2 linked regions of the Oreochromis niloticus genome follow. The protein of the gene in region 1 interacts with the protein of each later gene in a biochemical or structural test. Links are inferred from orthologs where the notes say so. Each region holds a gene or a part of one and is shown on either strand. Other genes may lie near its edges. The genes, in order: rps6ka3b and pea15.

Region 1 (7,314 bases):
CCTGCCAGTACCAAGGCAACAACCAGGTGTGCGTTACGCTCTATGGAGACGGAGCAGCCAATCAGGTAAGAGTTAAAAATGATTTAAATGACTCTATTAATATCCACCAATGCTGCTAAAAGGCTTTTAACACGCACTCTTACACTGTCATATCAGTTAGGTTTAAGATCTTTATTCTTATTTCCTTGGCTTCACGAGGTGACGCCACCACTTATTCTCATTCTGTTTCACCCCTGTTCTCCAAACCGGACCCTCTGAGCCACAGATGGAGGTTTTGTTTTTCCTCCGTCTGAAAACTGAGGCTGATTATGTGCGCTCCAAACTTTAGTGCCAGAACTGTGGAACAGCTTTCCTCCCTTGGCAGTTTAAAATGTATCTGGCATTTGGATGGACAGGCGTGCGTTTGTGTTCTGCGTTGTTTACGTGGTTCAGCTGTGTGCTTTTTAATACCTCTGTAAAGAACTTTACACTGGTTCTCGTCATTTGACCTCGACTCCTCTGTGATCCAATCAGGGCCAGCTCTTTGAGTCTTACAACATGGCCGCTCTATGGAAGCTGCCGTGCATCTTCATCTGCGAGAACAACAAGTACGGCATGGGGACATCGGTGGAGAGAGCTGCAGCCAGCACAGACTACTACAAGAGGGGAGACTTCATACCTGGACTCAGAGTGAGACATGAACACATTAAAGCTGCACGGCGGGGTTAAACATGGCGGGTAAACGTGCCGGTCCTGGGCAGCGGCGGCAGTGTGTCTGATGACTGTACACTGCCGCTGGCCCGTTTGGACCCAGACTATAACAGGAAGAGGCTGAGAGTCTGTCCTGGCAGTTGCAGGTGTGAGCATGCATACAGCTGCCTGATGCTCATGTATGATACTGCGCACAAACACTGGAATGTTCCAGGTGTCGCTGCAGGGGTCGCGTCTCTGTACGTAGAGGTGTGCCAATGGTCAGGTTTCTCTCTGCTCTCCTGCAGGTGGATGGGATGGATGTCCTGTGCGTCAGAGAGGCCACACAGTTTGCTGCAGATCACTGCAGAGCTGGAAAGGTGAGGGTTTGTTTTTTGTTTTGTTTTTTTATTTATACATTTTTAATATCTAATCTGTGCTGCACTCTGTTATTCATATATGTAAAAGTCCATGGAGACCCACAGCCTTTAATTTTGAAGGGTTCTCGTGGTGGAGAGTTTCCTGTAGGATCTCTAAAAGGCTCTAATCTTTCAGAGCATCGATGTGAAGCAGCACTTTGTGTTTCAGGGTCCCATCATAATGGAGCTGCAGACCTACCGTTACCATGGACACAGCATGAGTGACCCAGGTGTCAGGTGAGTTACCTTTCCCAGTCTGGATTTACCTGACCCTGGGAGAGTTGTGATTTTTCTCAGTAATTTGGTTTGACCTCCTGCAGCTACCGTACCCGCGAGGAGATTCAGGAGGTCCGTAGTAAGAGCGACCCCATCTCCATGCTGAAGGAGCGCATGCTCAGCCACAACATGGCGTCTGTAGAGGAGTTCAAGGTGAGCGTGCAGACAGCAGGGATACATTCACAGCTTCAAACCTTTTTTTATATAAAGGTTGGCAGCTGCAGGGATTACAGCACCTGATTTCTCTCCCATCAGGAAATCGACATAGAGATCCGTAAGCAGGTGGAGGAGGCGACTCAGTTCGCCACCTCGGACCCGGAGCCGCCGCTGGAAGAGTTATGCAACCACATCTTCTCCAAGAACCCGCCGCTGGAGGTGCGCGGGACAAGCCCCTGGTCCAAGCTCAAGTCTGTCAGCTAGACTCGGACCACACACTCCAACCATTATCCCTCACACATTCAGCACCTTCCCTCTCGACTTTAGGTCTCAGCACCTTCACAGGACTCTGAGGTTTTTTACCTGAAACCTGCCAGTGTTATTTATTTATAGTTTACTGTATAACTGAGATGTTATTCGTGGTGGAGACAGAGGTGTTGGATAGGATTAACATGCTGCACTGTAAACGCACAAATCCCAACATCTGACATGGAAACGTGTCTGTTAGAAACCCTCTCCATGTTTATCCTGCTTTTTAAACTCTTAGGAGACTTTTAAATGTTGCAAACTTGTGTAGGTATTCCCTCAGTAGTGTGACTTTAAAACCGGCGAAATACAAATGTGATGGATTTTTCTGGTAGTAAATGTGTTTTAAATGAGGAGTCGCAGCCTGAGCTTCAGAGCAGTCCCTCATCTGAAGCAGCTTCAGTGTCCAGGATAAGGACACAATATTAATGTATGTAATGATAAAATGGCTCTAAAAATGTTTATAACCTGAAGATGAAAACAAGACTTTAGATGGTCTCTAAATGCTTTAGAGGCTCTCCCTATCTGGACACTGAGGTCTGCAGGATCTTTTAGGAATGGTTGTTGTTGGTTGTGTTTTTGTTTTGTTTTTTTTTTTTTGTCTCCATAGATCTGGTTTTTCCAACCAAACGGTGAAATGACCTTTTTCTGCCCCTTTTCAAAGATGAGTAAATAAAATATAATCGAGCTGCTCGACTCGACTGCTGACGAGACAAACATCCGGACTTGTTTGGGGAAACTGAAGCTGGCAACTGGATGCACTACATTTGAGACTTTCTGGGCACTTTATGAGTTTAAAGGAGTCTGTTATAAAATCTTTCCTGTGTTCTTTAAAGTTTACTGTATCTGAGCCTGTACAGATATAAAGCTTTCTTATTTACCTGTCTGAATGGTGGAAACTGAAGGTTGTGAAATAAAACAACTTTAAAGAAAAGTGGAAACGTGATTGGTGTGTTTGAATCATATTTTATTTGCTCAGCTGTCAAACATAAAATGTGGTTACAAAGTAATGCTTCAAATATGACTCAATAGTTGATCAAACTAAAGGAAATCAGTGAGCTGTGTTCAGTTGTTCCATTCTCAACCACTAGATGTCACTATCAGGCTGATAAACTGCTCAAAACTAAAAATCAATTTATTTTTTTCACTTTAATTAGAGTAAAAATCTCCACTGGCTTCGGCCTGGTTTATTGTCAGCTTCATAATATAAAAAGGGACATGTCTGGACTTTTATCCCTTCTATTTTCGCTCTATTAAAGCTTTATGAACGAAAGTCATGCCCGGCTCGGACAAAAATTAAATGCTGTAAATTTAAACCAGTGAAAAGGTGTCACAGAAAAAACTGACAAAAGTATTCAAAAGTGGATTTTGTAACGACGCACAGCTTTAAGGAAGCGATGCGGTGAATCCAGGAGCACGTTCATGAGGTTTTTTGTGTTGATGTTTGTTTTTGGTTATTGTGTAGTTTTTGTCGTTTTGTGTACTTCAAAGTCGTTTTCCTTTCTGTGCTCGTGTTTCCCGTTTTTGTGAGCATTTCATATATTATATGTACATATTGAGTGGTTTATGGTCACTGCATATTTTTTGGTCAGTTTTTGATAATGTGTTGATTTGTATTTTTTTCTGGTAATTTGGCATTTCATGGGTACACACTTATGTTGTCCTCGAGCTTTTTTTGGTGGTTTATTTATTTCGTGGTTCACTACAGTATATGTGGAATAACTGTTGGCTGTTTGTGGACATTTAGCAGGTTTTTGTGGTCACAGTATTATTTCTGTGGGTGATTTTGTGCAGATTTTGTATATTTTTATGGTAATTTGTTTCATGCCTGGGTCATTTGTGACTGTTTTGCACATTTTGTAGTCATTTTGCGGTTGTTGGTGTATCACTTTGAATGTGTTTACTGATTTTGCATATTTGACATTTGTTGTTATTTAGAGTAGTTTTGTGGTTTATTTTTACATCTTTTGGTGGAATTTGCCATGTTATTGCTGGATTGTCCATTTTGCAGATTTTTGTATTTGTATTTTGTGTACTTTGTGATGGGTTTTTATGTGGTTAGGTGGCTTATTTTGGATAGTTTGTGGTCATTTTGAGTATCTTTGAGATACTCTTTTGCATTTTGTGTTACTTTTTATGTTTTGTGGTCATTTGGGTCGTTTAAGGTCGTTTTACATACTTTCTGTGATTGTGTGGGGCAGTTTGGCGCCACCCTGTTAGGCTTTATCGGTAAAAATAATCATTAAAAAAACAACACCGCCTTAGTGATGAATTGCAGACTGTTTATTCATAAGTTCAGATACGTGCTCGTTCACTCTTTTATTACCTAAGTGAGAATGCCGCCTGTCGTCGTGACGTAGTTGTGACGCAGCGCTCTGACGGACAGGTAAGCCGACACCGGCCGCCATATTGGGAAAGAACGGAAGTGAGAGAGGGAGAGGTGGAGGTAGAGAGAGAGAGAGAGAGAGACGGAGATAAGTCAATCAGTTTCCGAAAAAGGGCGTCCTCCTCCTCCTCTTCGTGTCTCCGGAGGAAGGGGCGGTCTCAGCGCCGCGGCAGATCCGGAATTAGCCCTTGTTCGCTCGGCTCCGTTCGGTCGGTTGGTCGGTCGGTCGGTTCGGTTCCTGCCGACGCTGAAAGTGGACTACTACCTTCAAACATTTTTTTTTAAGAATAAGAGCGAGGAGAGAAAGCGTCCGGAGCGAGGGAGGTACGAGCAGCAGAAAAGCGGAATAACAGAAGAAGAAGAATAAAGAAAAGTAGGGGCAGAAGAAGAAGAAGATGCCTCTGGCTCAGCTGGCGGATCCCTGGCAGAAGATGCCGCTGGGGAGGACGGCTGGAGAGGTGAGCACACTTTGGTTTGTCCTGCTGTCACACTGACTGACAGCTGAATGAGGGCTGCAGTCACAGCAGCAGCTTTCAGGGGGTAAAAAACACAAAAACACGGCACAGGATGCAGTCTGATGCTACAAAAGCGCCTTCTCTGTCAGGCAGAGGCAGCTGCTCCTAAACACAGCACAAACTACCGTAAGATCACTCTGCAGGTAAATCTGTGCTTCAGGAAGCGCTGGACATGTGCTAGCAATGACAGAGTCACGATGAAGTGCTCAAACAGTAAGCTGACAGTGTCATAAAGGACATTATACATTGCATTTATATTGACAGCAGCTGCTAAGTGACTGCAGGGATATTACTATGACCCTAAATTGAACTGTAAACACCGTAAACTCTGGGAACATCTGTTTATTTCCCTCTGAAGACACAAAGATGAAGTAATTTTCTATGCAGAAATTTTACACCAGTTCAGGAGGGCGCAGAAGTACACCAAAGTGTCATGTAAGCTCCCAAATAAGCACTCAAATCTTTGCAGGAATGTCCTGGATATGATCCAGTGTTAAATCATGTGGTTTAAAATGTCATAAAGTGCAAAAATATGAAGGGACCTTTCAGGATAATTCGATTTTTTTAGTTAAAGTCACTCTTCTTAGCAGCTAAACTACAACACAGGCATCATTTTTACCCTAGAAAGCTTCAGCAGGACTAAATTAGCTGCACTAAAACAACATAAAGTATCAAGTGATGACCCGAAGGCACAAATATGTAATAATACTTTATGCATGAGTATTACAGTGGTACTACAGGGCACAGAAAAACTCCAAAGTACCACATTGTCGGTATAAGCTGCCAACGTAGTGTTGCAGTCTCTGTAGGACTGCCATGGACATGTTTCTGGTGTTAAATCGAGAGGTTTTAAATATCATAAAGGACAAAAATGTGAAAATGAGATTGCATTATGGTTGACAGCACTGGTGACTAAAGGGGCATCAATTTGTCCCTGAAATTTGGTCGAAAACATTAGAAAGCTCCAAAAAGATGAAGTTAGCTGCATTAAAACACGACGTAGTTTTAACGTTCGTGTGTTTACTCTAAACACCCGAACGTGGTCCACACCCTCCAGACATGTTACATGTGTGCAAAAGGAAACCCTGAGCATGTGCTACAATATTTTTGGAATGACTTAAACAATAAAAGAAAAAAAGTCTGTCATGGATGCCTGTCAGTGTCAGTAAACAGAGTCTGAAAGTGTCGTAAGGGACAAATATATGAAGTCTGTATTAGCACTGCTGAGTGACTACAGGGACACTATTATGACCCTAAATGGGATTTTAAATACCATAAAACTCTAAAAGGAAATCAGTTCATGTAACTCTGAAGACACAAACACGAAGTAATATTCTGTGCAGAAATATTACACCAGTACAGTGTACAGTGGGCACAGAAGAACAATAAAACTGGTGTTTAATTGAGAGGTTTACAGCACATTGTGCACAGCAGATTGTATTATTACACAAACTATTTTAAATTAGATTTAAAGCAGCATAGAGCTCCGACGGGGACTATATTAGTTGCACTGAATCACATCATGAAGCAGTTTAGGGACAGAGTTGTTACATTTGGGTTTTATATGTTAAAGTCTGTTTAGAAATAACAGATTCATGTTTAAATGCTAAAATAAGAGAATGGAATGACGAAGTGTGAAAATGTTGCAAAGTAGGTTGTATTAGGATCGAGAGCAGCAGCTAAAGCTGCTATAGAGGCATTATTTTGACCTTAAGTTAGACTAAAAACACCACGAACCTCAAACAGGACTAAATTAGTTTTACTGAAACACAACAGAAAGTAGCATAAGATCATTCTGAAGACACAAAGATGAAGTTTTCTATGCAGATATATTACATTAGTACTACCAGGCAGAGAAAGTGTCACTATAAGCTGCCATAGTAGTGTTAAAATCTCTCTGGAAATGCCCTGACCATAATATAAAAATGTCAGAAAGTACAAAACTACTTTGGGACTATTACATTTTTTACCATTTAAGCAGATGCAGACTCACCGAATATTATAATACTGGCAGGCTCTATAAATGCTCTACAAATTGATAGAAAACAAACTGTAGAAGAAGACATAAAATGATCTGAAGAGCCCCGGCTTTTCTCTCTGGCCTGACCCTGAAGCTCATTTAATCAATTCATCGACTCTGAGTGTCACAAACTCACTAAATCACCTTAAAGTCTCAGTTAGATCACCGCTGACAGCAGCACCCCCCCCCCCCCCCCCCCCCCCCCCTTATTTCCTTATTTTAACACACCACGCCAAGTCTCCTGAGATCAGTCTGTAGACACGCAAGGCTTTACTTTCAAATACTAAAGCTGTGTTACAGCTCCTGCTTATTGCCTTATCTACTAGTCCAGCGTCAGAATATGCAGCCGTAGAGGTGCAGTAGTTAATGTCATGTTTGAGCACTAAACCAGCAGGTTAAAGGCTATTATTAATTACAGCAGCAGCCAAATCTTAAGCTCCTGTAAGGACTTTACTTTGACCAGAAAATAGATTAAAAACCCAAGAAGACTGTGTAATATTGTACAATATAGAAGTACTGCTCCAAATATTTAATTCATGTTATATGAATCTCTCAGTAAACTGCGGG
Region 2 (7,934 bases), on another chromosome or scaffold:
AGATGACTCTGTCCGTATTTGCATTAACAACAGTATGCCCATTGTTACAGTGAAAGCAGATCCTGAGACAACTCATTTAGGTGGTGACAGGTACAGGAAATCTGGTGTCACTGTATTCACTGCTGTTTGCAACATAATGATGACGATAATAATATTTTATTAAATACAAAATGTTTACCATAGGGTCAAACCTTTCGGAAAAAAAATGTTTGGTAGAAAGTAGAACTATGAAAAATAGACTAGAATAGAATAAAATAGAATAGAATAAAGTAGCCACTTTATTGTAATTCAGAACACATATCAGTTAGTGAACATCAGAGCAAAATATTGATGCATTTACTCACCAGCAGGCGGTACAATATAAATACAGAAATGTGTATAGGATCTTTGCAAAACATTTCATGCTTTTATGGTTTTGTGGTTTTGCTTAAATATACACTCAGTTTTTATGTCCGAGTATGTTGTTGGTGTTTCTTTCTTTAGCAGGTTTTTGCATGAACTGCCCCTTTGTTCATTGAATCAATATTAACATCAAACCAAAGCTGAATTTTATGTTATCTGTGCATTAACTTGGTAGCACTTCTGATTGTAGCTCGGTAACAGAGGGTTAAAAGTAGTGTAACAAAGTAGAAATAATAAGGTAATAATTGAAAATTTCTGTTATTACCACTCAATTACCAAAGTAATAACAATGTAATATCCAAGTAATTGCCATGGTGGCAAACAGCAGTTATTCCATCCCATCCATCCATTCTCTTCCGTTTATTCTTGTCAGGGTCGTGGGGGGGCTGGAGCCTATCCCAGCTGACTTAGGCCAAGAGGGAGGGTACACCCTGGACAGGTTGGCAGTCTGTCGCAGGGCTAACACATAGAGGCAGACAACCAGTCACACTCACATTCACACCTATGGCAATTTAGACTTACTAATTAACCTATCCCCAATAACTACGTCTTTGGAATGTGGGAGGAAGCCACAGTATCCAGAGAAAACCCACACAAATTCCACACAGAAAAACCCCAACCTAATGGTGGAATTGAACACAGGCAACAGTGCTAACCACTGTGGTCACTGATACTTAAGTGAGAAAGCAAGATTCTGCTGATGTGTAAGTAATTTAATGCTGTTGGCATCATGGCGAATTTACAGCACTAAATTAAGTGGTTATGCCGAGGCTACATGCACTTTCAACAATGTACAGCTGATGTGTGTTAAAAAAAAAAAGAAGCATCCATTGGGTTTAAAAGACAGCAAAGAAGTGCACTAAAACAGTAATGGGCTAACTCACATGCTTCCCCTGAATCGATGCCAATTTAGGGTGTTGTTGATAGTGAAGACAATCTTTAGCAATCTGAAATAAGAAGGCATTCATTACTATGTGTCACATGAGAGGTTTTCAGCAAAATGAAGTTTACACTTCATCTTTCATTCCAGAAAACTTTGCAAAAGAAAAGACAAACCAGTGTTTTCCATTCAATAAGGCCAACAAGCCGATGAAGTCACTGAACACCATTTACAGCTCAAATAATGGAAAAAGTGCTCAAAACAGAATAAAATATATATATCTTTTTCATTTGTCTCCTCATCAGTCCAAACTTTTAAGTCAGGCATTATGAACATCATGATTTTTTTTACAGGCATTAAATAGTCACTTTTATTAATAAATAAAGATGTAAACATGGTGATGATTACACCCTAGTGGTCTTAAAAAATACTCAAATAAAAGCCGATGTTGCCTTAATGGAACTACAGCTGTGTTTAGTAAGTCTGTAGTAGCACAGTCTGTCATCACTCAGTAACACAAAGAATATAAATGCATTTAACCCCTGTAAATGTGGTGCTTTGGTGCTTTGAATTGCAGCACTTTTTCAGTTTTTTTTAAGTAAAAGCAAATGGAAACTTTCCCAAAATCGGTGTCCTTACTCCAGTTCTTTTGCACCCTTGTGAGTGATCATGTGTACATGCTTGTGTATTAGTAAAAAAGGGGACTTTTTCCAATGCCCGAGGTCAAAGACCGGAGAAGAAAAGTGTTATTCATAACCTCCAGATTTGTATCGCCATGAGTTACAGAGCAACAACAAAGTCATGACAACACAAAATCATGAGATGCACTATAAAATTTTGTAAGTTAAAGGTTATTTTTATATTTTATATTAATAAATGTGTTTTATTTTAAATTTTGGGGCATTTTTTTTTCATGTCCGTCATAACATATTCCAAAATTATGTCAAAACACACATACGCACTTCTGAGGTGTGTGAAACCATTAGCAGTTTATTCCAGCAGAGTTATTTCTTTCAGTGATGTAAAGTTTAGTCGTGGGACATCTGATGTACAACACCTGTGCATTTTTGGATTCAAGTTACACTTTGCAAGAATGAACACAGCTCTGCGCTTCACACCCACCTACGCGCACTTCTGAAGACCTTTGAAAAGAGAAGTGTAGAATGGCTCAAGCAGCTTTTAACAGGAAGCAATTCTTGTTTTCTTGGTGTAACCTGAAGATGGTTAAAGAAAACAGGAAATGTGACATCACATACGAAGGTATTTCCACTACACATAGTTATTATTTTTAGTTGTCTGGACGTTTTACTCAGAGTTCCTGATGGTCGCAAAGACTGCTCAGAAAACTAACTTTACCTTACTTTACACTTAAAAAGGGGTTTGTGTTCTTTTCAAAATAAAATATGTAGGACTAGCTGGAGTTAACGGGCTACTTCAACTGTATATGCATCAACAAAAGTTTAATCTCCAAAAAGGTTTTGTGGGGAAGCAAGGGAAAAAATGGTAGTGCATGCCAACTTTGCTTTGACAGCTTAATTTTTAGTTCTGCACCGCAGAGCCTATAACTTAGCCTACAGGTGCTTCCACTGCTGGACCGTTTTGCTGTCAAAACACTAGTGAGCATTAGAGTTTCTCTTGAAAATTATTAGCCATGAAAATTACAGCTTAGAGTTACAAAAGAGTTTGCAGTTAGATAGTTCCAACTGTACAGTAACTGTGTGTTAGCCATGGACGCTACTATCTACTACTGTTTACCAGTCTAAACATATCTCCATGTTCCTGATGTTGTTGACTTCTGACTGACTTTGAATTCAATTATCATTCCAATACTATGACAAATAATAGCCTCGTTATAATCTATGGATGCATCTTGCTAACATAGTTGCTTTGTGTTGCAGAATGTGAAATGTGAAACCAATGAAATAATATTTTATTCCCATTGAAAGAACAGACATCTGTCATTTCTAAAGCAATTTTGTGACAGAAAAATCTGAAATATAGATTTAAACTCTATAATTGCAGCTGTTTTCCCACTTGTGTCCATTTTCACTGTGCTAAGGGGAGGCCAGAGGGGAGAAACTAATGAATGATTTAACTTCATTTGAGAGATCAGCACCCAGCAGCACAACTTCTGTTGGCTCGCTGTCACTTTTAAAAGAATGGAGTTGAAGCTGGGGGGCTGATGTTTGTGACAGAGAGAAAGGAACAGGAGGAGGGATTTGCAGACCGGATAGCGGCTCAGTGACATCAGCTTCGAAAAATGTGTGTGTGGAACTGAGAGTGTATGTGTGGAATCAGAGGAAAAATAGGGAATGGGAAAGAGCTCCCACTCTGCTCCTTTTACCGAGAACTAAAGAGAACACGAACGTGTGCTCAGCGTGTTATTCCTGCTGGTTGTTTCTATCTTTAACTCTAAATTAACCCCAGATGCATAACAAATATTTTTATTTGTTATGTTTGGGTTATACTCCAAAACGGCCTTATTTTATTATACAAAGTAAAACAAGAGATCAATTAAAGAAATCCCCCAAGTTACCCACTGATGCATCTGTGTGGGTTTGAGCATGTGTCTGTGGATTCATCCTGCAGTGTCAAAGTGCTTTGAGGACTAAGTGAGTGCTAAGCATATAACAGTCCATATTACCATGGGTTAAACTAAAAGTAGGAGAAGGTAAAACACATAGAATATTTGGATGGAAAGAAGATTAGACACTAGTGATCACTGCTGTGAAACTCAGCTTGAGGTTCATTAATGGTGTTTTTAGATTGGTTACATGACTAAGCCAATAAAAGAAAGCTAAACCAATAAAACATCTTGGCGCAACACTCACCTCACAACAAGAAGCTTCCAGGTTTGAAGGTGTCCAAAGACGCTTGTCAGGTTAGCTGGTAAATCTAAAGTGGTGTTAATGGGACTTCAGTGGATAGCCATCACATCTCAGCCAGGGTCCTGGATACGCGCCTTGAACGAGAGTGCTGAGCCAAGGATAAAGCAGCATTCACACATCGGAACAAATTCAAATCGAGTGAATACCTGAAACAGTGCTATCCAACGGGTAATATTACTATTTTACTTTGAAAAAAGAAGCTCTGAAAAAATGCAAGCTAAAGATGTGCCTTACTTATCCCCAAAACCATTAACTGGGGATGTGATTTGAAAGTGTTTGAAATCTCCTGTGGATAGACACGAAGGCAAATTAAGAAGATAAGATGACAGTGTGCTGCAGAGAATGCAAACACTTTTAAATCTAATTTTTGATTATCCTCAGGCTTCACAGCCTCCTCAAGTCCCCTTTAAAAATCATTATTATTATTATTATTATTATTATTATTATTATTATTATTGCCAAATATAGTTTCGCGGCGTGTTATTGACAGAGTGAGGCGTTGTATTCAACAGACGATCTCAGGGCGAATCAGACAGCGCGCTTAACCGTGACCGAGAGAGAGAGAGAGCGAGAGGAGGGGGAGAGAGAGACAAAAGGCGTTTCCACGTTAGAGCAGCCAGCTTCAGAGCGGCGGATAGCGAAGCACGCGGACATAGGGAGACCTCACGAGCATCATACACCCCCAAACTCGCGCTGACAGTTCGTCTAACCCAGGCACCACGGCCGCGTTTTGCCACGCTGATGAATCACACTCAAGTTCATCACTGAGCGACTTGAAACCACAAAAGTGAACCGAAACCAAGCGGGACTGACCAGGTGGACTTTTTTTTTCTCCCTCCTTGCATCACGTCTGCCGTCTCTCTTGGGCTGCTTTCTACGCGTTTGAGCTTTGTAGAGGAAATCGTCCCGCAGACTCACGCATCCCTTCCATCTCCGTGTCTCTTTCCCTGCCTGTAGCTGACTCATTTTTGCTGCTCGGGGTGAGTACATCTCTTTCTAACTCTCCCTTCCTGTCTCCATCTTTTTTCTGTTTTTTAAATCATGCTTTTTCTCACACGCCTGTGGGGGATTGTTGCTTTAAGACCCATTTCCCCAGAGTGTACTTCATTCATTTGACCGTCATTCCGCTCTCCATTCATGGATACGGCTCATTTCTGTCGTTGCATACCGCTACATGGAGGCTGTGTCGGAGACTCGCCTACTTCACAGCCTGCTGTCAATGAGAGTTGTTTTTTTGTGAACTATGAATTAAAACTGAGACTCCTGTGAGGATAGCGGACATACAATATTGGTCAATTAAGTGATTCCACTGGGCGTTAAGCAGGTTGTTTCTTAACAGTAAAAGAAACACTTAAACATTAAGCTGAAATAACTGACTGTAAACCTTTAAGCGTATGTCCTTAACTCATTCATGGACTTTCAAATGGCAAATGGATGGATGTTTCATTCTCAAGAGTGCACTGAATACACCATTGATTAAACTAATTGGATTGAGTGTAGTGTGGCTATTCATGTATCTAGTGTCCTTTTCATTACACCCCTGCTGAATATCCCAACAGTTTTCCGTATAGAGGCTGGACTCAGTGGGATTACAGTGCACTCTCCCACTGAATCCCAGCTATAATGTGTGATAAAAGTCTGTGGTGTTGTTTTAGTAGATCTGCATTTATGAGGATCACATGATCTGGAATATTCTGGCTCTAAACCAGAGGAGCAGATGATAAAGCACTGGTGACCACCTGTGACTGTCCCGGATGGCTGAGAGTGTGTGTGAGCGGATGGGGAAGGGGTGGGTCTTTTATGAATGAATTTGGGTGGATGGCCAACACTTTGTGTGTGCATATGGGTGGGGGTGAGCAGAAGTGTTCTTCCTGAACACTAACAGACTTATCTCAACTAAGCTACTCTCCTTATGCAGTTGTGAACTTGTGATGAAATCATGTTTGATTTGGCAGATTTTTAGCCGGATGCCTTTCATGAACCCCCCACCCCCCACCCCACACACACACACACACACACACACACACACACACACACACACACCTAAACCACTACACGATATTGCCTGTTTTTAATCATTTTGATACTATTACACAATCTGGTTTGGGCCTATAGGCTTTTCAAAATTTAAGAGTAGTGTTAGTTTTAGCCTTGTCCAAGGATCTGATAAGCTCAAACCTACAAAAGGCATAAAAGGACTAAAGAAACTAAAGGAGTAACTTTGAAGTTCTGTGTTTGAGTCAAGCTTACTAGCATCTCTTTGTTAGTGTTTTTAAAAGGGATGCACAAAGCTTTCTGCATTTGTCAGTGAAAATAGTGAATCTGGTAATGCTGACAGCAAGACAATCACATTAAATCCTTTGTGTTTTCTATGGGTGGCTTGCTCATGTCACACCAGCATTTTTCTTTGAATGTTTGCAACAGATTCTGCTTAACTGTAAAAGACTTCACACAAGTGAAAAGCTCCAGTGACGCAATTTTAACTACTGTTCTTAAATTCATAATGTTTTTAATACATTTATAATACATAATGTATACTTTCTAATATGTTCTTAAATCTATAGTTGGCCCATTTTACCGATGTAGTGATTGTGTTTTTGTTGTGTCAAAAGTGACGTCTGCACAGCTCCGTACTGTTTAGTGCTGAGGAAGCGAGGGCTGTTTTCAATATTCTTCTGAACGATGGGATAAAACTATCAAGTTGTCTCCACTCAGATAAAACCTTTACAGCAGGGATAATGGGACCATTATGAGCTACAGTCCATAACTAATGTATTTTGTTCTCGATAGAGGTTTGACACATGTAAAAAAAAAAAAGAAAAAAGAAAAACAAACAAACAAACAAAAAAAAAATACAGCTAACAGCAAAACAGCAAAATGATTAATTAGAACTATAAAGAGATACCAAAAAAGTAAAAAAAAAAAGAACAAGGCAGTTTTTGTGGTTTAATGCCATTTTACCATCAGTTGTTCTCCCAGTTTACTTTTAAGTCTGTTTTAAGCTAAAACATTCATTGCTGTATGTAAATTAAACCCATTTTATGTTTGCCTTTGCCACTTCTTAAGCCAGACGTTAGGATGTTGCGTTGCTTGCTAGCATAAACTCAGTCATTTTTCTACGTTACAAAAACACCACAGTGAAGATGCTGGCACAGCGTTTAGCATATTTGCTAAAAAACATGACATGAACAATTAGCCAAGTAGATCCTGATTAACTTTGTTGACATGTAGCTTCTGCTCTAATTTTAGCTATTTGTCATTAATTACTGCATATTCCCATTCATTCTGACCCCATCTGCCACACTCATACAGCACATTGCACTTTAGCGTGTAACAGATGCACAGTGTGACAGCTGTCAGTCCATTTCCTGTTAGGCCACATTCCACTCATTTTTATCCCTGAACAGTGTGCGCTCTTTGCAAGCTGTCAAACATTCCTGTGGACTGATAATACATCTTTGTGAGGACTTTTTTTTTCTTTTTTTTTACTTTGCCTGAGGGTAAAGCTTAATTTTAGGTTATGAACAGAGCTAAAGGGTCCTCACAGTTATACAAATAGAGGCTTGTGTGTGTGAGCCTTGACTCAGCTTTTTGGGAGCCGGTCTCCTCTCCTTTTTGATACATATATACATCGATCTGTCGTTGTGCACACAGAGGAAAAACACGAGTGGGACAGCAGAAATGTGCTTCCTCTCTCAGGTTCACTTCCTATATATGTGTGTGTGTGTGCGTCTGTGTGTGGTTTCGGATGTCCTCCCGCCGTC

The links.
Region 2: the proteins of rps6ka3b (region 1) and pea15 form a complex in vitro, tested with the Homo sapiens proteins (2 studies listed by BioGRID). The link is inferred for Oreochromis niloticus from reciprocal best matches to the Homo sapiens genes RPS6KA3 and PEA15.

What each region holds. Positions count from the first base shown.
Region 1 is NC_031974.2:5,811,266-5,818,579, reverse strand, and holds the start of rps6ka3b (ribosomal protein S6 kinase alpha-3), read left to right. Parts: upstream 1-4,226; 5' UTR 4,227-4,607; coding exon 4,608-4,670; intron 4,671-7,314. Other genes in the region: pyruvate dehydrogenase E1 component subunit alpha, mitochondrial, read left to right, coding at 1-65, 514-669, 978-1,049, 1,258-1,325, 1,409-1,517, 1,620-1,784. UniProt on the Homo sapiens protein: Serine/threonine-protein kinase that acts downstream of ERK (MAPK1/ERK2 and MAPK3/ERK1) signaling and mediates mitogenic and stress-induced activation of the transcription factors CREB1, ETV1/ER81 and NR4A1/NUR77, regulates translation through RPS6 and EIF4B phosphorylation, and mediates cellular proliferation, survival, and differentiation by modulating mTOR signaling and repressing pro-apoptotic function of BAD and DAPK1.
Region 2 is NC_031967.2:28,670,205-28,678,138, forward strand, and holds the start of pea15 (astrocytic phosphoprotein PEA-15), read left to right. Parts: upstream 1-4,745; 5' UTR 4,746-5,150; intron 5,151-7,934. UniProt on the Homo sapiens protein: Blocks Ras-mediated inhibition of integrin activation and modulates the ERK MAP kinase cascade. Inhibits RPS6KA3 activities by retaining it in the cytoplasm. Inhibits both TNFRSF6- and TNFRSF1A-mediated CASP8 activity and apoptosis.